Tribolium castaneum: one gene and its partners. The protein of the gene in region 1 purifies or fractionates together with the protein of each later gene. This does not show direct contact. Links are inferred from orthologs where the notes say so. Each region holds a gene or a part of one and is shown in the gene's direction. Other genes may lie near its edges.

Evidence for each region.
Region 2: the proteins of Keap1 (region 1) and Roc1a purify together in Homo sapiens (affinity purification with western blotting; 6 studies listed by BioGRID). This does not show direct contact. The link is inferred for Tribolium castaneum from reciprocal best matches to the Homo sapiens genes KEAP1 and RBX1.
Region 3: the proteins of Keap1 (region 1) and Ets97D purify together in Homo sapiens (affinity purification with western blotting; 3 studies listed by BioGRID). This does not show direct contact. The link is inferred for Tribolium castaneum from reciprocal best matches to the Homo sapiens genes KEAP1 and GABPA.
Region 4: the proteins of Keap1 (region 1) and Slik purify together in Homo sapiens (affinity purification with western blotting; 3 studies listed by BioGRID and IntAct, with this or other methods). This does not show direct contact. The link is inferred for Tribolium castaneum from reciprocal best matches to the Homo sapiens genes KEAP1 and SLK.
Region 5: the proteins of Keap1 (region 1) and serine/threonine-protein phosphatase Pgam5, mitochondrial purify together in Homo sapiens (affinity purification with western blotting; 6 studies listed by BioGRID and IntAct, with this or other methods). This does not show direct contact. The link is inferred for Tribolium castaneum from reciprocal best matches to the Homo sapiens genes KEAP1 and PGAM5.

What each region holds. Positions count from the first base shown.
Region 1 is NC_087395.1:20,688,619-20,692,841, forward strand, and holds the start of Keap1 (kelch-like ECH-associated protein 1B), read left to right. Parts: upstream 1-1,423; 5' UTR 1,424-1,521; coding exon 1,522-1,562; intron 1,563-4,223. UniProt on the Homo sapiens protein: Substrate-specific adapter of a BCR (BTB-CUL3-RBX1) E3 ubiquitin ligase complex that regulates the response to oxidative stress by targeting NFE2L2/NRF2 for ubiquitination.
Region 2 is NC_087402.1:12,066,277-12,070,389, reverse strand, and holds Roc1a (RING-box protein 1A), read left to right. Parts: upstream 1-1,304; 5' UTR 1,305-1,400; coding exon 1,401-1,493; intron 1,494-1,545; coding exon 1,546-1,573; intron 1,574-1,622; coding exon 1,623-1,744; intron 1,745-1,795; coding exon 1,796-1,881; intron 1,882-3,934; coding exon 3,935-3,947; 3' UTR 3,948-4,107; downstream 4,108-4,113. Other genes in the region: e(y)3 (titin), read right to left, coding at 467-805, 854-1,001. UniProt on the Homo sapiens protein: E3 ubiquitin ligase component of multiple cullin-RING-based E3 ubiquitin-protein ligase (CRLs) complexes which mediate the ubiquitination and subsequent proteasomal degradation of target proteins, including proteins involved in cell cycle progression, signal transduction, transcription and transcription-coupled nucleotide excision repair.
Region 3 is NC_087401.1:9,468,945-9,473,052, forward strand, and holds the start of Ets97D (DNA-binding protein Ets97D), read left to right. Parts: upstream 1-1,306; 5' UTR 1,307-1,421; coding exon 1,422-1,513; intron 1,514-1,557; coding exon 1,558-1,900; intron 1,901-1,948; coding exon 1,949-2,087; intron 2,088-3,744; coding exon 3,745-4,108. Other genes in the region: protein regulator of cytokinesis 1, read right to left, coding at 1-735.
Region 4 is NC_087397.1:2,857,083-2,860,596, forward strand, and holds part of Slik (STE20-like serine/threonine-protein kinase), read left to right. Parts: intron 1-930; coding exon 931-1,385; intron 1,386-2,497; coding exon 2,498-2,576; intron 2,577-2,631; coding exon 2,632-2,729; intron 2,730-2,779; coding exon 2,780-3,247; intron 3,248-3,297; coding exon 3,298-3,514. UniProt on the Homo sapiens protein: Mediates apoptosis and actin stress fiber dissolution.
Region 5 is NC_087401.1:11,765,553-11,769,262, forward strand, and holds serine/threonine-protein phosphatase Pgam5, mitochondrial, read left to right. Parts: upstream 1-1,305; 5' UTR 1,306-2,062; coding exon 2,063-2,226; intron 2,227-2,275; coding exon 2,276-2,666; intron 2,667-2,716; coding exon 2,717-2,850; intron 2,851-2,908; coding exon 2,909-3,059; 3' UTR 3,060-3,197; downstream 3,198-3,710. Other genes in the region: dnaJ homolog subfamily C member 30, mitochondrial, read right to left, coding at 1-286, 334-616; stomatin, read right to left, coding at 3,198-3,302. UniProt on the Homo sapiens protein: Mitochondrial serine/threonine phosphatase that dephosphorylates various substrates and thus plays a role in different biological processes including cellular senescence or mitophagy. Modulates cellular senescence by regulating mitochondrial dynamics.

The sequences.
Region 1 (4,223 bases):
ATTGATTAATTGTGAGGTTGGTATCAGTGGATGACAAATAATTTAACACTGCTAAAATTTATTTTTTTTGACGTAGACAGACTGAGAGAAAAATGAAATAGTTAAAATGTTTGTCTACAAAATTTTAATTTCGGTAAAGAATGTATTTTTTTAAGTACAGTGTTTAAAAATGGTTGTTTATCAAGTTGACTATGGAATTCAAGTTCATTGTGCCGCTTCTTCCCAATGACTATTGTGATTTCTCTGTGAAATCTTGAATTAAACTTTTACTCACTTTTTGCATTTTTCAGCAAAGTTTATTTCCGGGATTTTTGATGTTTTGTATTTTTTCGTTTTTGAGTTCGAGGTCTTTTGCATTATTTTGACGGCTCTGTCACTTTGACGGCATTCACAATTTAAATTAAGCGGCACATTACGTTCAAATTTCATTGGTGGCTTGATGAACAACCATTTTTGAACACATTGTATAAAATACCGGGTGAACAAAAGTGACTGTTTCCAGTACTGTAATCGAAAATGATTTTTATTGATAAATAGTTGACGAAAGTTGTTTCCTTTTTATAATAATTACAAGTGTCAAGTATTAATCTGTCGACAACCGGAAGGCACTTTTAAGATAAAAAAAAATATTGTAGCCAATTTAGACACTCTTTTTTATCATCTGTTATTTCTTCGCATAGCCATCGAGATTTTGTCGATCTAATATTATGACCTAAATTCTCACTAGGAATTAGTAATTCAACTTGATTTCAATCGCCTATAAACATGGTGATTTTGTGTAGCTATTTATTGGTTATCGAATTATTTTTTATCAATTAATTAGCAATAATTTTAATATGAATTTTTCATCATCGATGTAGACTAAGAAATTTGCCAATTTTTCTATCTTCTGTAACTATTTAGACAATTTTAGCTTTACATATGGTGATGTTTCTGTACTTGCAAAAGTATTTGGTATTTTCGTTTTCCTGACATTCCAGGAAAATACTTATCGAAACAATGCATTGTCTTTTATCTTAAAAATCTGTATAATAAAAAATGATGTGACTGAAATCTATTTTTAAAAATGAGAATTACAGGCTGTTGCAGGAAGTAAATTTCAGTTGGGTCCTGCCAAAAATCTGTTAAGGTTATTAACCACTCCATTTTTTCTAGTCATTCTGACGTTGTTGTAATAAATAATAATCACATTTTCCCATCTTATCAGGTGTGTTTTAATTAGAAACAACGTAAATAATTTTTAATGCATAAAAATGACCACTGTTAGCGTGCAATGTAAACTTCTCACGCATTCTTGTCTTGACCTACGTTAAGGTTTGTAACCGGCGGCTTTTAAAAGTCATCATGTCATTCGCTGTTGCAAATCAGAAAATAACAAAACAAGTTTCTTGATATATTCAATAGATAAAAGTTTTTGATTAAATTTATTATCCATCATGTTCAGTTGTGGAGTAACGGTGGAGCATGGAGGACCATTGTTCGAGCTGTGATATATTAGTGCGTAATGTGTAGATAAAAAAAATGATTTCTCCCAGCGATAGTGGTTGGCCGGCAGATTTAGAGTAAGATTGCAAGTCATTTAGTTGATACTGGAATTTATTTTGTATGTTTCAAGGCTGAACATGCAATCACAAATAATGATACTCTAATTTGTTGTTTGTTGGTTTTAACAGTGTCGGTAACCGGACACTAATTAATCCCTTCTTCTGGTGTTATAAATTGATTTTTTGTTTCTTGTGTCTTTGGCGAGAAATGTTTTCCTGAGTCAATTCTTTGAAACATTCTATTTGAAAAATCCAGTAATAGTTTTTGCTGACGAATGTTTGTCGTATGAAGATCTTAATTGCACGAGCAATAAAACGACAATTTATGCATAATTAACTGATCATTTGTTTGGCTAAGATGTGGGCCGGTAATGTGTTGTTATCTTTGTGGTAACCAGAAAAGTATGATCGCGCCACGAGTGAGTGTGGAGATCATCAACTTTTTGACTTCGTTATCAATTGTCACGAAAAAATATTTATGATTTATTTGTAATAAATTAGTAATACTAATAATATAATTTGCAGTATTGAGATATTAGACCTAGCAACTTTTTAATGATTAATAAAATACATATTAGAGTTTAGCGTTGATAGGTAATAGAAATCATTCAATTATGTACGTACTCGTATAGCTTGTGTTATTTTACTTGTAACTTACAAGTATTTGAAACGATATTCTACAGGACTCTTTTAAGATACATATTTTAAAATTTTCGTTGAAAATTATAGTCACCAAAATAGCAGAATGTGTCTTATTAGCCATCAGAATCCAACTTTGGATTACTAACAAATTTTGAACTCAAAAACAACTATTTTTTAATTTATTAACATTTTGAAAGTATGAAAGGTGCATAATAGCAATATTTTAGAAGATAACTTTGCTTTACAATCATTTCTTATCTTTATTATTATTTAAATTTTTCACTTTAGACTTTAGATACAATTGCTTTTTTAAAATAATTTTTATTTTTTCAGTTAATAAATAAAAATTCGATACCTGTTTCTTGTTTTCAAATTTTATTTTTGTAATATCTGTTTCAAAACTAAATTGGTCACTAGAGTCCAATTTAACACAGAATTAAACCTTATTTCTACACCCTTTTAGCACCAGGTAAAGTTTCGACTTCTAGACCGTAAACACCTAGTATTTATGGTCGCCGCACTTTTGAGATTATGTTGTCTTATGCTGGTTTTACACAGCATATGATATGACTAAAGTTATACTTCACTTTCAAGGTTTGCTCTAATATGAGATCGAAAATATTTTCGATCTCACGTTAGTAAGATTTTTCTTAATACTCTCCTTACCACAGATCTTTTTCTGATTTTCTGCATAATATAGTTCAGTCTTTTCATTTCAAAAGTGGAACTTTTGATTTTAAGTAAATAATACAGGTTGCTCAAAAACCGGCGCATCAACTCAATGGTGTGTCGTAGAGAAATGCTAGAACACCATGATTTTTTTATGTATCGATAGTATTTCGAATGAGCTTTCTAATGAAATAGAGTTTGCATAGCAAATATAAAATATTTTTCGAGATTTAAAAAATATATGTATTTTATTACAAGAAAATATGCTTAGAATCTGATAGTCAAATGGTACATTTTTGATATGTACTGATGTGACTAATTACATTAGTAATCTAATTATTACCTAATACATAAATGAATTTCATTCATCAAGAATTATTAACAAAATAAATAAAACATATTTTTTTACTCTTTTGAACACTTTAAGAAATATTGTAAATTTGGTAAACAAACCGCATATCATTAGAAAGCCTATGAAACATACTATCGATACATGTAATGGCACACCCTGTACATTTCAAGTAAAAGTCGACTATTTCTTAAATCTACAAGGTATTCTGACAGGGGGGTCACCCTGTATAAAAAGTAAAATTGTAAAAAAATCTATGTATAAAAGTTACTGATAAATAACGAATCAATGTGATCGTAATTGAATTTGATCAAAAATAAAAATGAAATATTTTTTAAGTTGTTTCCTAGAAAATAGTACCAAGTGTTTGCGATTTTTTATTGAATTTTATTTTTTTTTAACAAAAAAACTGCTAAAGTCTGATAATAAACTTAAAAATAATTATTCACCATTGTGTTAGGGAACGATTACGTAGTGCGAAACATAAAACGATTAAAAATAATGAAAACTGAAGAAGTTAATAAAATAAGTTTGTCGCTCCAAATTTTTGAAAATATGACTTTAGTAATATTTTCAAGATTTTTCCCGTAATCCACACATGCTTTTCAACAACAACAGAGTTGGTGCATTGGTTTTTGAAGCAGCCTGTAGATCCAATATGTTCAAAAAAAAATTTTTTAATGCTAAGATCAGAGCAAAGAATCAGAACATAGGAGCTGTTATAGTTTTCAAGTTCTCGCAAACTTGGTTTTGATTTAGTACCAAAGCAATGTTTTTTATTTTTCCTTTTAGTCATTTTGAAAATTATTTCTCTGTGTGTACATGTTTACATACAAATTAAATTAACTAGTGTTATCTGTGTGATGATGTAAACGTAAATGACATATTGATAGCGGCATTTTAGGTACCATCAAAGACTAAATAATTGGGAGTAAAAAATTTTCGACCAATAAACCATTTTCTCCAAGTCTGTGCATACAGGATTTTTCACTTAAGAAACTGCCCCTGATTGAAAATAG
Region 2 (4,113 bases), on another chromosome or scaffold:
TCGCATTTAACCGAATATTTTTTTTAAATAAGATTGATAAAAATAGTTATTAATGACAAGATCTTCCAATAAAACTAGAAAATATATAAGCTATTAATTCTTTGAAAAGCATAAATAATTTATAACAATTACTTCTAGAGAAAATCCGACGTTGGCATTTTTATAATTTCGAAACAGCTAATAATTACGCTAACATTTGATACTGTTCAAAATTTTTAAGACATGACTGTGAAGCACCCCAATGCCCATAGCTGACTTATTAACTATTAACTCAATTAATTAATAAAATATTTGATTTCGGCTGTATTTTTTGGAAACGAAATTTAGTACATTTTGAAACCAAAACATACATGTTCCATTGAAGCCCAGACTAGTGGCTCCCCTAACGCCCGTTTTTTGACACTGGCTGACTTATTAACTAATCATTTAAAATTAATATAAATTAAATAAATATTTGATTTCTTACCTTGCAACATTTGAAGTTCAGCTGAAAACTCATCAAGCTCCATCGCAATGTCTTTATTAGCCCCTCTCAGATCCTTTCGAATCGTAAAATCAAACGAAGTCGTCGGCTCCCCTAACAAATTCTCCAAATCCTGAACAATGTCATCAACATTTTCTGTAATTTTCTCCGTAGAAGTATCCGTAATATTCATATCGAGCAGGTCCTTATCGGACGCAATCGGCGATGGGTTACCACCCCCTGACATCTCCCTCACTAAATTAATAACTGGGTTCGCACTACTCGGGTGTTTCCCCGAATCCAAAGCATCCGAGGATGTGCTACTGATTGGATCGTCAGCAGCTGAACACAATTGAAGTAAGCGCAAGGAAAACTGGAAAAAACACTTACCAATGTGTGACGTTGAAGTGGTTGTAAATGCATCGGTGGAAGACGTTGGGGTTGAATCACAAGACTCACTTTTTTCGTCGGTATTCGATGACAGCAGGTTGCCCATTGTTGAGGTTAACTCGCTTTCGGTGGATTTTTCACTTTCCATTGTCACTTGCACGGGAAAATGGTGCTATTTGGTTGAAAACACACCGTTTATCACAGACAATTAATTACGGGTATAATTAAATGCGGCATTTTTGTTTACGGTTTTAAACGACAAACGCCATCACAAGTGGAAGCTTCGCCAGGAGTGCCAACGGCAACCGTCAGACGAAAATGGCCATTAATAAAATAATTATCAATTAATACAACACTTGTTTACAATTTTAATGCGTTAGCCATCCATTAGTTAAGTTAATAACATTGATTTTCGCAAAATTGGTCATTCTGTGGTGGTTGAAGGGCACCCAACACACGCGTAAAATTCCCCAGTCGAAATTTCACCCCAAACAGTTTGGCAATTAACGTTTGTAAAAACTCACAATTTTGTGTTATTTGGGCAAAAATGGCAGCGGCAATGGACGTGGATGTTGACGAGGTCGAAGTTCCCACTTCGAGCAGTTCCAAGGGTGAAAAGAAGCGTTTCGAAGTGAAAAAGGTAAGTTTGTGAGACATAACCTAACACTTGATGATTTTTCATTTTTATGAAGTGGAACGCCGTAGCGTTGTGGGCTTGGGGTACGCTGTGTCATTTTATTAGACACGTTGGTTTTAATTAAAATTTTAGATATCGTGGTCGATAATTGTGCCATTTGTCGCAATCATATTATGGATTTATGTATTGAGTGTCAGGCAAATCAGGCCTCAGCGACCAGTGAAGAGTGTACAGTTGCTTGGGGAGTGTGTAATGTGAGTAATTTGCTGTTTTTTGAGTTTTGGTTTTAGTGAATCTGGTTTTAGCACGCGTTTCATTTTCACTGTATTTCGAGGTGGTTGAAGACAAGGCAGGTGTGCCCACTAGATAATCGAGAATGGGAATTTCAAAAGTAAGTTTTTTTATTTTAAATGTTTTTCTAACGGGTTAATAGTCCCTTTGTTTTTACAACTTTTACAATACAGAGGGTTTAAATTTTTTATTGTTATACCATCTAGTGGTCAATTAACGATCTACTTTGTTGTGTGACATGGCGGGAAATTTGAATGTCACATTTCACAGTTTTTGTTATAGTAATTTCATAATAATACTTAAACACAGGCTGTCCCAACGATCCCAAAAAGCTCCATAATTTGTTTATTATTAAAGATATTGAGTTTTCCTTTTTTTTAGATACGGGTATGCATATAGAGGATGTTCCAATATAAAAAAACACTAAAGCTATGTTTTTTCAAATGAAACACCCTAAATTTTATTGCATTTTTGCTTAGTTTTTAAAATATTTTGATTTTTTTGACAAAAACACAAAAAATTATTACACAAAAAGGCAGAATCGTAGAATCCCACACGGGGAAAAGTTCAAACTTATAAATCTGTTCCAATTGTTTAGCGTATTACAATTAGAAACAGAAAAATTAAAGTTTATTAAAACTTGAAAAACTTAAATGGAACACTCTATTTTTTGTTATTGCTTCTCAAAAATTACTAAATTACTAAAAACATAAAGTTTCAACTTCCTAAAGTTACTAACTAAAAAGATATTTCACTTTAAACGTTAATTTCAACAACATATCACAACCATAGCAACTCCACCACAGACCACTTGTTGGAGATTATACGGGACTAAAAATTCTATAAGTATTGAAATTTTAATTATTTCACTGTTATAAATGACAAATAATGGCCTAAAAGTAACATTAAAGTTATTATTAGCAGAAAATTTCACTTTTTGACTACTGAAACAATAGGTAATAATTTTTTTATTGTTTAATGTTAAAAATCTTTTGAGTAATCACTAATTAGCGAAAGACCCAACTGTTAATCTTGTCAGAGAGACTATTTAAAGGTCTTTTAGATGCAAAAATAAAAATTGGGTGTTCCATTTAAAATTTTTAAGTTATTCAACTTGCAACAAACCTCTTCATTTTTTATCTTCTTGATTGCAGTAAGCTAATAAAAATAATACATCCTTGGAGTTTGAACTTTCTTTCTTTAAAGTGGTGAAAGTTCCTCTTTTCTGAGATTCTAAGTTTTTATGTAACGATTTTTTTAAAAAAGCGTGTTTTGGCAAAAAAATCCAGTTATTGTAAAAACAAAGCAAAATCGACCTATAACAATTTGAAAAGCTTGAAAACATCTGTGTTAAAAGCTACATCCAAAAATGCAAAAAATATAGGTTGTTCCATTTAAAAAAACAAGTTTGTATTGTATCTAATTTTAGAAACAGCCTGTATACTTGAAAATAATTTTAAGTGGTAGGTACTTTAACTTAAAAAACAGTATAATCGTCAACGTTAGTATTTGTCCTAAGAACGTATTTAAACAACTTAAATAACTTAAATAAAAATCAAAGTAATTTTACTAAAAACTGAATTAATATGTATTTGTTTTCTAACAATTGTTCAATTGTTGTAATATTAATTAATTATTTCGTTTGAATAAATAAACTGTTTCAAAACTATAAAAACGCCAACGTCGCCTGTTACTGAATTATTTTTTTAAACAAAATACATAGAATTTTTAAAATAGTTACTAATGATTAGATCTCTCATTGAAAGTATAAATTACATTAGGTACTATTTTTTAAAGTGCATGAATAATTTATAACAACTAATTTTGAGAAAAAATGCGATTTTGGCGTTTTTATACTTTCAAAATAGCTAATACATATACTGCATTTGCCAAATAACAACGAATAATGAGAAACGCTTTTGTAAAAGTTTTTTAGTTACCGGTATATTGACTTGTTCTCTACAGAAATACATCATCCGATAAATTTCAGAAAAACTCAAACAGTAGTTTACGAAAAAAATCGAAGAAAACAATTTTTAAGAAACTGTAGAAAGTGAAAATAAACTGAAACATGTGATGGTGGTGTAAATTACTTTGATTTTTTTTATTTTATTTTTTATTCTAAGAAAGTACTGATGATGTATTTTTTGCAGGTATGGGCATTGATCGTTATGTTATCAGTAGCATAATACGGTTTTCGGTATTTGATTCTCACCATTTTTTTTCGTAAACTCAACATGTTATAACGGAAATTTAGTTTTTGTATAATCCAGGTCTTGAAATTTTTTGTTACATTTTGTATTTCAATAAATTATTATTCAATTCATACTGT
Region 3 (4,108 bases), on another chromosome or scaffold:
CGTAAAATCATCGCGTTGTTTTTGTGTACAGTGACACTTTTCCCACCATTCTTCGAGCTCATCTCGTTGCTTTAAAATGAAACTCTGAAGCTTGGCCTTTTTCATCGCCTTCAACCTATTCAACTCCTCTTTAAGCGCCTCCAGCGTCTTCAACGAGTGCCCCACGTGTCTCGCCCGGAAATCATCACGCTCCACCAAATCAACCTCCAATTTTTTCCACAAATCGTCGATCCTGCTCCTCAACTCTTCAACCTCCTCGGTCACGTCAGCGAGGCGCTTGACCAACTGGTCGTGGAACTGCCGCAACTGCTCCATTTCTGCGTCGGTTATGCGCACTTGGGTATTGGACAAATTCAAAATATCCTTCTCGAACTCTAGATTAGGGCACATCTCTAGTTCGGAGACGACAATCTCGACGATTTTTTCCTTCAGTTGGAAGAAAACCTCCTCCCGTTCCATCGCCTCCGTCTCCAGGTTCTCGACATAGGCCTTCAACTCCTCCAGCTCGGGGGGCAACGGGAGGGGGGCCCGCCCCAGACAGGCACACAGTTTGAGCTCTTTCTGCTGCAACTCGCTAAACTCCCGTCGGCGAATCTGGGCCAAAGCCTCGAATTCGTCCACCTTTTGGACGATTTGGAGGCGCACCTCACTCAGAGGAACCCCTTCGTAGTTGAAAGTGGGGATTGGGACGTGGAGGTCGCGACAGAGATTTTCGAGTTTCTCTAACAGTTTCATTATTTTATCGATAACGAATTTTTTAAATTTTTATGAAGTTTCTTTATTTTTCAATTTTTTTTACCTACCTTATATCTTGCAATTTTCTTTATTTCTGCAGTAACTTAAGCCCTCTAATAAGGCCTTCGACTGTAAAAAAATCATGTTCGGACAAACACCTCTTGCGACCTTAACGAATTTTTTTAATTTTTATAAAGTTACTCTATTTTGCAAACTTTATTTTTTTAAAGATTTTTTAAAGTTTCCCAACCAAGAGGTGTTTGTCCGAACATGATTTTTTTACAGTCAAATGCCCTATCGAAGGGCTTAATCTCCTGTAAAAATAAAGAAAATTGCAGGATATAAAGGGAGTGAAAAAATCAGTTTGCATTGCTTGGACATGAGAATAAAAAATGCAGAAATGAAATGCAGTTAAGTTTTAATTTCTAATAGAAACACATTAGATTGGTCAGGAGATGTTCTACACATGTGATATGGTCAGTGTAACAGCTTATTGATGTTTTTATAAAGATTTACAATTATTTTAATAATTTTTCCTGGTGTGAACTTGGCTGTAGAAAACGAGAATGGTGGAGAAATGGTCGACTGTAATGTTCATGGTGTCAGTGCTGCCCTCACCGACATTTGTTGACTTGTCATTTACCAATAATAATAATAATATGAAAATAATTGAATAATCCTTAATAATGTGCGAGAAGACAAAAGTGCAAACATTCATCTTGACTCAGAACGAGTTCGGCCAGAAAGTCTACAAGTCACAGTCGGACAAGTCGAAGAGGTGAAGTTGCTTTTTAGAGTGGCCCCACCTAACCTCACTTTCAGTTTTGTGATTGACGATGAGGGCAATATGGTGCAGTACCAGCCCCCTGGGTCGTTTCGTAGCGTCAAATTGGAGTCAGCGGGTGACGATTTCGACGAAATCACAACTGATGACGATTCGGTTCATTTGGGAATGATCAATTCACTTGAAAGTGCGAGCGATTTCGACGACCATTTGATGCAAGAATTGGACTCGGATTTGATGAACGTCGAGGACACACACTCGAGTCTCATAATGCAACATATGGACATACAGGAGCCGCTCCTCAAACTGCGCCAGTTGCTGGAGCAAAGGCTCGGCTTGAGCCTCGCCGATTATTCGTTCTATTTGCAGGGGACACAAATGGTGTGTGTTAACTGTGTGAGTTTTGTACCACTAGTTAGAAGGTTTTAGCTGGAAAATGACAAAAATCTCGTGGAACAGTGTGTGCAAGGCCAAGGTTTGGTCCAAATCAATGTCCAGTTACAAGCGAATTTGAAACGAATTAATATTTTGGACGTCCTTAAGCCAGCAGAAGACTATATTCACGTCGGTTAGTTACTGAAAAATTGTAATAAAACGACTGTAGGACCAACTTCTTTAAAAGGTTTGCGAGTTGCAACGTTTCGTTTATATAATAAACAGCATCAGGCTAAAAAACATACATATTAAAGATACAATATAAACACAATTAAATACTGACCTTTTTACTTCTTTAAATTTTTGGAAGTGATTATTAATAGATGGAATTAATTTTAGTAACACTGTTTTATAACCTTTCAAAATTTCTAGCCAATATTTTACAACCAATTAGTTCTATTTTTTCATACAACGTGACCCAAGGGTATGTAAGTCAGCCCATAACTTTTTTGCCATTTGAAACATTCCCATACAGTTTTCATTATCTGATAGATTGTCATAAAAATATTTACATTATACACAGGGTGGTGAGCCAAAGTTATATATTTTCTAAATGGAACACTCTACATAAACTATCATCTTTATGTAAACTATTATTATTCGTTTCGGAATTATTCAACTTTTCGTTATAAAAAAGACCAACATTTGAAAAATGACTGTGAAGTCGCTTATGAATGTTTTCCGATAAATTTGGAGTAGAAAAACTTAAAATACCTTGTAGTTTTAGCAAATAGTCGACTTTTACTTGAAACACGCAGCTAATGTACAGGTGTGCCAAAACGCAAAAAGTTAAATAACTCATTTTTTCAAATTGAACATCTTGTATTTTTTTCATGTAGCGATTGAATTTTTAATAAGCTTTCTAGTGGTATACGGTTTGCATAGCAAATCTAAAATATTTTCTGAGATCTTTCAGAAAAGTATATTTTATTACAAGAAAATTTGTTAGCCTAAAATCAAAATCAAATGGTAATTAAAATTAGGGCAAAGTTTCGTATTTTTATACTGAACAATTATCTTACAAGAAATCTAAATATTAAATCTTGTCTTTAGCAAACTAAAATCAAAAACTTCTAAAATGTCTTACTTCCGAAATGATTTAATCTAAAAAAAAATAAAAATATTATTCTTAATTTCAAATCACGTACTGATAAATTTAGTAAAATTTACATGAAAAAGTAATGATAATAACACATAATTTTCATCATTTTTTAACATGTTTTGTCTCTTTTTTTTAATAGTATTGTGATTAGGATTTTAATTATAATCTTTTTGACGTTAATTATATTTAATTTTAACGTCAGTATTTTGGTTATTTAATAATAATTGCAAGTAAAGTATCAATTTTTAAAAGTTATTTTTGTTTACATTAAAAATGTAATGGTTCTTTTTGAAATTTTATTTCAAACTAATTAAAAAAATATTTTCAGAAAATAATATTAATGTTTTTTCAATTTTTTTTAAATAATAACACGTTCCACTCATTCCTACGTATTTTTTTTAACTAAGATCTTTTTAGTTGGTGTCAAAAGACAGTGCTTGTTATTGTAAGCCTCATTTTTGTTAATCTTTTAAATTAATTCAAAATTCATTCAGATTAATTCTATCTTCTAACGTTCACTTCCAAGAATGGTTAGTAATTAATTTTGGTTATATTGTATTTTTAATATGTATGTTTTTTAGTCTGATGAATGTTGCAACTTGTCTTTATTTAAAACCTTTTAAGGAGGGTGAAATTTTATTACGGTCGGTTAATTATTGTAAAATTTTCGCCAAAACTGTTATTTCAGATGAGTTGAATCAAAGTGAGCGGTGCCAAGCCCCGCCCCCGAAAGCCGTCGTCCAATGGCAGGTCGATCTGGCCTACAAGCGTGAACAAGACCGCCTTAAAATCCCTCACGATCCAATGGAATGGTCACAAGTGCACGTCCGTCATTGGGTGCAATGGGCGGTCCGTCAATTCAACTTGCCTAGCATTAAATTATCTGATTGGTCAATGACGGGGCGTGAATTATACAATTTGACCGTCAGCGATTTCCAGAAAATTGTTCCATACGATCCTGGTGACATCTTCTGGACGCATCTTGAATTGCTACGAAAAATGAAAGTCGTTGCGACAAAAAAAGAAGACCGTGAGGAACCACATGTCATGAA
Region 4 (3,514 bases), on another chromosome or scaffold:
ACAGGAGGTCCGGAAGCACCACAAATGGCAATAATCCACCTTGGTTTTAAACCACGATTTGCCAATTTCTATGAATTGTAAAAATAAATTGTTGAGGTTTCAAATTCTTACAAAAACATAAAAACTAAAGTTATTTCCGTATAAATCTCAAACACAGGATATTGAGTAAAGGTAATACCCCGAAACTGAGAAGGATATGGTCGTTGAAATGGAAAAAATCGAATTATTTCGACATCATGCTGCTATTTTAGGCATGAAAGATTGACTAGTTAAGGCGTTTGTCAGTTCCTTTTTTTAGAGTTTGAATTGACTTGTTGTAGGTTAATTTATTAGGTTAATTGAAACATAAATAGCAAGGTCATAGGTCAGTTTTGCGACACTATTTTAATAAATGAAGGCCTGGATTTGTAAAAAATAAAAAAATAAATATAAAATGTTAGTTGAGAGTCGTGTTAACGGTAGTAAACAAAAGGTTAATACTAAATGTGCGATTGTTAGAGACTTGGCTGTTGTTAAAGCCTGCTTAAGCAGATAGTATTTTTTTTTTGTTGAAAGAATGCATTGAACAAATTACGAAACAAAGGACTCACGAATCGTCAAATTCCTTTTTTTAAACCTAAAATCTGTATTTATAACTGAGATCAGTGGTCATATTATTAATACACTGTACTCTCATGGGCTTTAATCATTTTGATCATGAATAAACTGAGACTGAAGATAAATAGCCAAATCAATATTAGTTGAGCAAATGACATGGTTTATAAATAATCTTTTAGAACTAACGTTAAAACTTCTAGTTCTTGACTTCATTCAGAAAAATTTGTTCCTTAATTTGCAGTTTTTTTGTCAGTTTGCGAAAAAAGTGCCTGTCTGCGCTTTATTATTGTTTACTCTGTTGGTGGCAATTAACATCTGATTATGTTCCGCCAGCCGACTTCGGAGTCTCCGCTAAAAATAAAAGCACGATGCAAAAACACGACACGTTCATCGGAACGCCATACTGGATGGCCCCCGAAGTGGTCCTTTGTGAGACTTTCCGCGACAATCCGTACGATTTCAAAGTGGACGTGTGGTCGATGGGCATAACTCTCATTGAATTCGCCCAAATGGAGCCACCCAACCACGAAATGTCACCCATGAGGGTGTTACTCAAAATCCAAAAATCCGATCCGCCCAAATTGGAACAACCGTCGAAGTGGTCGAAGGAGTTTAACGATTTCGTGTCAAATTGTCTGGTCAAGGATCCGCAAAAAAGACCAACCTGTGACGAGTTGTTGAAGCATCCGTTTATTAATTGTACGCTGGACTCGAAACCGATCAGGGATTTGTTGTTGGAGTACAAGGCGGAGGTTGTTGAAGAGGAATTGACAGATGATGATCCCGAGGTAAGGATGGGGGCTGATTGTGGGGTTATCGGGTTGCACTGTTGGTGTAACTGTCACTCGGTTCTTAAGCTTTTGTACATAATTTCATGCTTAGCGGGGTAGGAAACATCGCAAGCACAAAGAGCTTTATCAGAGAATTGGTAAGTTTACACACGGGTGCATCTTAGACAGAATTTTATTTTTTTTACATCTTTCAAATATTCAACCATCTCTCAAATCTATAAATTATATTTTTTTTGTAATTGTCAACCTCATTAAAGCAACAAAATAAGAAAAAAAAATGGATGCTATTATTTGAGAAGGTTTTTGATTTTTTTTCAAGATTTTGAAACATACTATACCTTTTTTACGTCTGTGGACATTAACGGATAAATAATATTTGTGAGCAAACAACGTGGTGTTAGGAGAATAGAAATGTCTGTCGCGTATCAATAAAAAAATCGGAAGGACATTCCTTGTAGCAAAAACAAATAAATATGTTACCTTTAATGTGACCTCTAATACATAAAATAATTTGACAAGATAGTTAATCAACAAAATTTTTGTTTTTGTACTATTGTGCATGGCAGTCTTTGCTAGAGTTTGAAAATGGTTTATAATTTTTAATCTGTGTGATGGTTGAATAACTCGAGAATCGTACTATGGATGTTAGGAAAAAAATTAAAATAAGTTAATAATTTAGTTGGTGCAAATATTTATGTAAGAAATTATTTAAAGATAAACAGTTGCATATAATAAAGTGGCCTTTATTGCTGCGAGAGCAGTGACCGATTGAAAAGTTTTTTGTTTTAAAATTTAGGTTTTAAAGCTTTATACAAAAATTGCAAGCTTTTTTAGTTTCCAATTATGTACCACTCCTATTTATGTTAAAAAATCATTTGTCACAATTATTCTCTTGGTAGTTTGAGGTGATAATAATAAACGTAAACCCAAAACTTCCTCTAATTTATGTTATCACGGCTTGTTTGTTATGCATGCGGCTCTCCGGGCCCTCCTTCGCCTGGCATGTTGGCCCAGGTGAGAAAATCAGTTGGCTTTTGCTATTTTCCGCTTAGATTTTAGTTAGAAACACGTAGTTTTTGAAACGAAAAATTGAATAAAAATTATTTTAGGACAACCGCACTTCTCATGTTCCTCTGGATATAGAAGATGACTCCACTTCTGTAAAGAGCAGCGAAGTTGACAATAAAGGTACTGTGATATTTTGACTAAATAAAAACAAAAAATTGATTGTGAAAATTTGCAGTAAATGACCTAGAATCTCCCGTAATTAATGTAGAAGAAGAAACTGCTAAAGATTTGACAGCTTCGACGCCTAGCAATGTCCAAGCCGACAAAAAACCGGTAAGTGGTTCGCAATCAATCGAAAATAGAAAATTTATAAAATTTGTCAGCTGGAGAAGAAAGACGAAGTCCAGAGGAAAACCTCCCGGGATAAAGGTAAAGCGCCCCCACCTCCCATCCAACCCCAAGCGAGTTCGTCGACTGAGAAACCTCCAGCCCCGGCTGCACCTGTCGCCATTCCCAACCTACCAACGCCCCCATCTTCGCCCATCACACCTCCAGCAACTCCGCCAAGTTCTAGTCCAGTTCATCCAGGTAGCGAACCCGCAAAACCCGAAGAAAACAAAGACAACGTCGATAATATTAAAGAAGTATTAGAAAAACAATTGAAGAAGCGGCAGTCTGAAGGCGACGTAGCGAGTGAGGGAGTCACAGTCAGTGCGACATCTGACGACACTGTTAGTAACTTTGTTGTGGTTTCGTCACAATCTGAACGAAACAAACTAAACACTTCCACTATCACCATTAACTCTGATCTTCCCGATCCCTCAAACAGTTTAGCGTCGAATATCAGTCAGGTGAGTTGGCTTAGGTGCGTTTGTCGTTTGTTTCATTTGGCGGATTACAGGTGACTGTAGTAACGACTCATCCGCCCGTTATTATCGACAATACTCAATGCGTGTCGCGATCTTCAACTTCCCCCAGTAATAGTACAAACGAGGTCGTGATAGTTGCGAACGAAACGAATAAAACACACGTTGAATCATCAGACGATGAATGTTACCCGAGTTTGGATTCGTTGGAATACCCCCCACCCAGCGAGTTCCGCGACAGGCCGCTCAAAG
Region 5 (3,710 bases), on another chromosome or scaffold:
GCCGCCATAATTGCAAAAAGAACAGTCATTAAAACCAATTTTTCCGTTTTCACATGTTCGGCTAATTCTTTTTCTCGTTTCATTTTCATTTTTTCCCTCGCCTTGAATCTCAGAGTGTTCTGAAAAGTGGCCCCATAATGCGCCTTTGACCATTCATCAAAATCATAAACTGTGGTCCTCCCATATTCTGAGGGAGGCCTTGATTGTGTGTCCCTCGACTTGTAAAACTTGTTCAACGGTGGGTCGTCTCGTACAACCCCTGATGTTACCCCCTCAAAGTATAAACCTTCAAATGTTATTAATAGAAATTTATTTAAAATTTTTCAAAAGTACCTCTGTCATAAAGTTTGCGTGATTTCACGTTCCCTAACACTTCGTAGGCTTCGGTGATGTCGCGAAATTTCTGTGCGGCGTCGTCGCTGTCTTTATTTCGATCAGGATGGTAAACTTTTGAAAGTTTGTAATAAGCGGATTTGACGTCAGCTTGCGTTGCTTTTGAGGAAATTCCAAGAGAGTCGTAATGGCTTTTACCTTTAGTAGATCGGAGGAAAAAGGAGGTGTGGAATTTACGTAACTGGGGCCCCAAAAACCAAATATAGGAACGAGAGGGGTACATCTTGAGGTTAGATTTAACGGACGAGTTTTATGACGACATAATCAATTGATTTGACTTGAAGTAATGACTAAAAACAAGCTTAGTGAACAGAGATTGAACTACACAAGCTTTTAGTTACCGTTCTTTTTGAGTTTTGTGATTATTTCACAATTAAATCCAAGTCGAAAAAATGTCAAACGTCAAAAAATCGACTGATTTCAGTAAACCGGACGCCGGTTTTTAGCACAAAAAATCGTTTTACGCCACATTGCACCCAAACTTGGTACATAGGATTTGTGTGAATAATAATCCAAACTACCCTCTGACTATAAAATATAAATTACTCCTATTTAATTTTTTTTGGTCCTAAGTTGGTGTACTGAATGTCGGTGGAGACAGGTGCTGGCACCATTAACATTACAGTCGACCAGATAATCGCTGCGCGCAACTTTTTTTTTTTTTAACTACTTTATATCTTGCAATTTTCTTTATTTTTGCTGGAGATTAAGCCCTTTGATAAGGCCTTTGACCGTAAATCGAAGGATTTAATCTCCTGCAAAAATAAAAAAATTGCAGGATATAAAGGAGGCTCCATGCGCACAGCGATTGTCTGGTCGACTGTAATTTTCATGGTACCAACATCATTTTTAGTGCTATTTCCACTGCTATGTGTACTGAATGGCCACAGAATAACAGGTTTTACAGAAACGCATCTGTCCTTGTCCCGATAGAGCGAAAGTGTCACTAGCACATCTATTGTTGCCAGCGCGTACTAAGCGTTATCGGCGGGCGATTTGAATTGCCCGTAGTTACTTTTCTTTTAAAGTTTGATTGCATTTTTCGTATTGTTTGTAAATATTCACAACAATAGTTGCTAATAACACTTTCTGATGTTAGACAACTATTGTTGCTGAATATTTACAAAGAATACGAAAAATAAAATATGAGAATAAATAAAGACAATAAACTTGTAATAAAAATTTATTATCACTAGTCAATATACACGATACGATAACTATAAACTAATGATTGATCCATCAAATTATTTATATTCCCACAATAAAAAAGTTCAAAAAAGCACACACACGAAAAAAACCACAAAACAGTACTAATTTCACATAAAACAAAGCCGAAGGCGAACACCAAACAAACCAAGCACAAAATGGCGATTTACACAATGGCAACTGTCACAGGTCCACTGTTAATTTCTGCCGATATTATAGGTAGCTTCGCTAAAATTGACTATACGTGTGTGCGACATCTGCGATAGCAAGCCGAACTACAGTCGATTTTGAATTTGGCGCCTATACTTGGCTTGGTGCATTTAGGTTTCACCACCCTGTGAATGGCTTGTAACTGTCACTGTGACAGCTTTAACCTCACTTTGCAAATTGAGCTTCACATTTCCCGATAAGAATTATCACTTAAACCGTAAACAAACATTGAATTTTCTACAATTCATCCAACATGCGCCCATTTTCGAAGATGAACAAGCTGTTTCTGGGTGTGTGTGCGGCTTCGGGGGCCGCAACTTACTACTTTTTGAACGGTTCAAATAAGACAGTTTACGCTTCTTGGACGTCGAATTACGAGCCTTCGCCACATGCCAGATGGGACGATAATTGGGACCAGTAATCGTGACACAAACCCGGTAATTTTTTAGCTAATAGTCAATTGTAGTCGCTCGCCGAAATTTTTATCACACCCGAAATACTCCAAAGATGAGAATAACAATCAGATTCATAGCGAAATTGAATTAAATAAAGCTAAGTCAGTCCGACATTTGATTCTGATACGTCATGGTCAATACAATGTTAATGGCCAAACGGACGAAGACCGGACTTTAACAAAACTAGGGAAAATTCAAGCTGAATATACGGGGAAAAGGCTCAAAGAGTTGGGTCTACCGTATACAAAAATAATCAAATCGACAATGTCTCGTGCGCAAGAGACTGGTTCAATTATCTCAGTTTCTCTCCCCGACGTTCCGGTTAAAAACTGCGATTTGTTGCGTGAAGGGGCCCCCATACCTCCGGAGCCCCCGATCGGGTCATGGAAGCAAGAAATGTATGTAAGTAACACCACTAGTGGTTTTTGGCTCGATTTAATTACTTTTGTTAGAAGTTTTTCGTTGATGGGGCACGAATTGAGGCCGCTTTTCGTAGATATTTCCATAGGGCTGCGCCCCAACAAAAGGAAGACTCGTATACTGTTTTAGTGTGTCATGCTAATGTGATTCGGTATTTTGTGTGCAGGTAATTCCCCTTTAAATTGAGTTGATTTGAATTTGAATTAATTGGGTTGGTAATTTAGGGCACTGCAATTACCAGCCGAGGCATGGTTGAGGATGTCTTTGAACCATGCTAGTATTACTTGGATTAGTATTACTCCAAGTGGGCGCGTGGTCTTAAGGTGTTTGGGCGATAGCGGGCACATGCCGCCAGATGTCGTCACTAGTCGATAAATTTTTATCATTCAATAATAAGCGCAAAAACACATTTTTTTTATTCATGTAAATGTATTTTTAAGTATTATTTTTTTGCCTGGAATCACTTTTTATTTTTGATTTTGTAACACCAAATTAAAGAATACAAAACTACAATTAGTTGCCTCTTTTAAAATGACTAAAAAGCTCTATCGGAATGGGGAAAACAATCGTTGAGTTTTTCTCAGCTGAAATATTGCTCAGTGTTTGTAAATACCTCAACTGAAACAAAAAAAAACAATTCATTAGTTCACTACAACTTCGGAAAATTGTACACTCACTGCCATAAAGAATGTCACCCCTATAAACCCCGACTGATAGCAAAGGGCCCAACTCAGACTCTGGGCTCAAAACGTCAATAAACATTCTTTCTGAGGTTTCATCTGCTTGAAAGCATGATTTCGTGCTTTTACTTTTGTAACATGAACTATATTTTAGTGTAAATTAATAATTGTAATTAATTTAATTAATGAATTAAGGTATTACGTAAATAGATGTACAGACTGATCCAGAAATACTGAGTCTGTTGGCAACACTGGACCTACATTTTTAAGGATACCAATGGAGTAACGTAAGGTTTTACTTTTCTAATTAAATAATAATAATAATAATAAAGCTCCGTTAAAATTT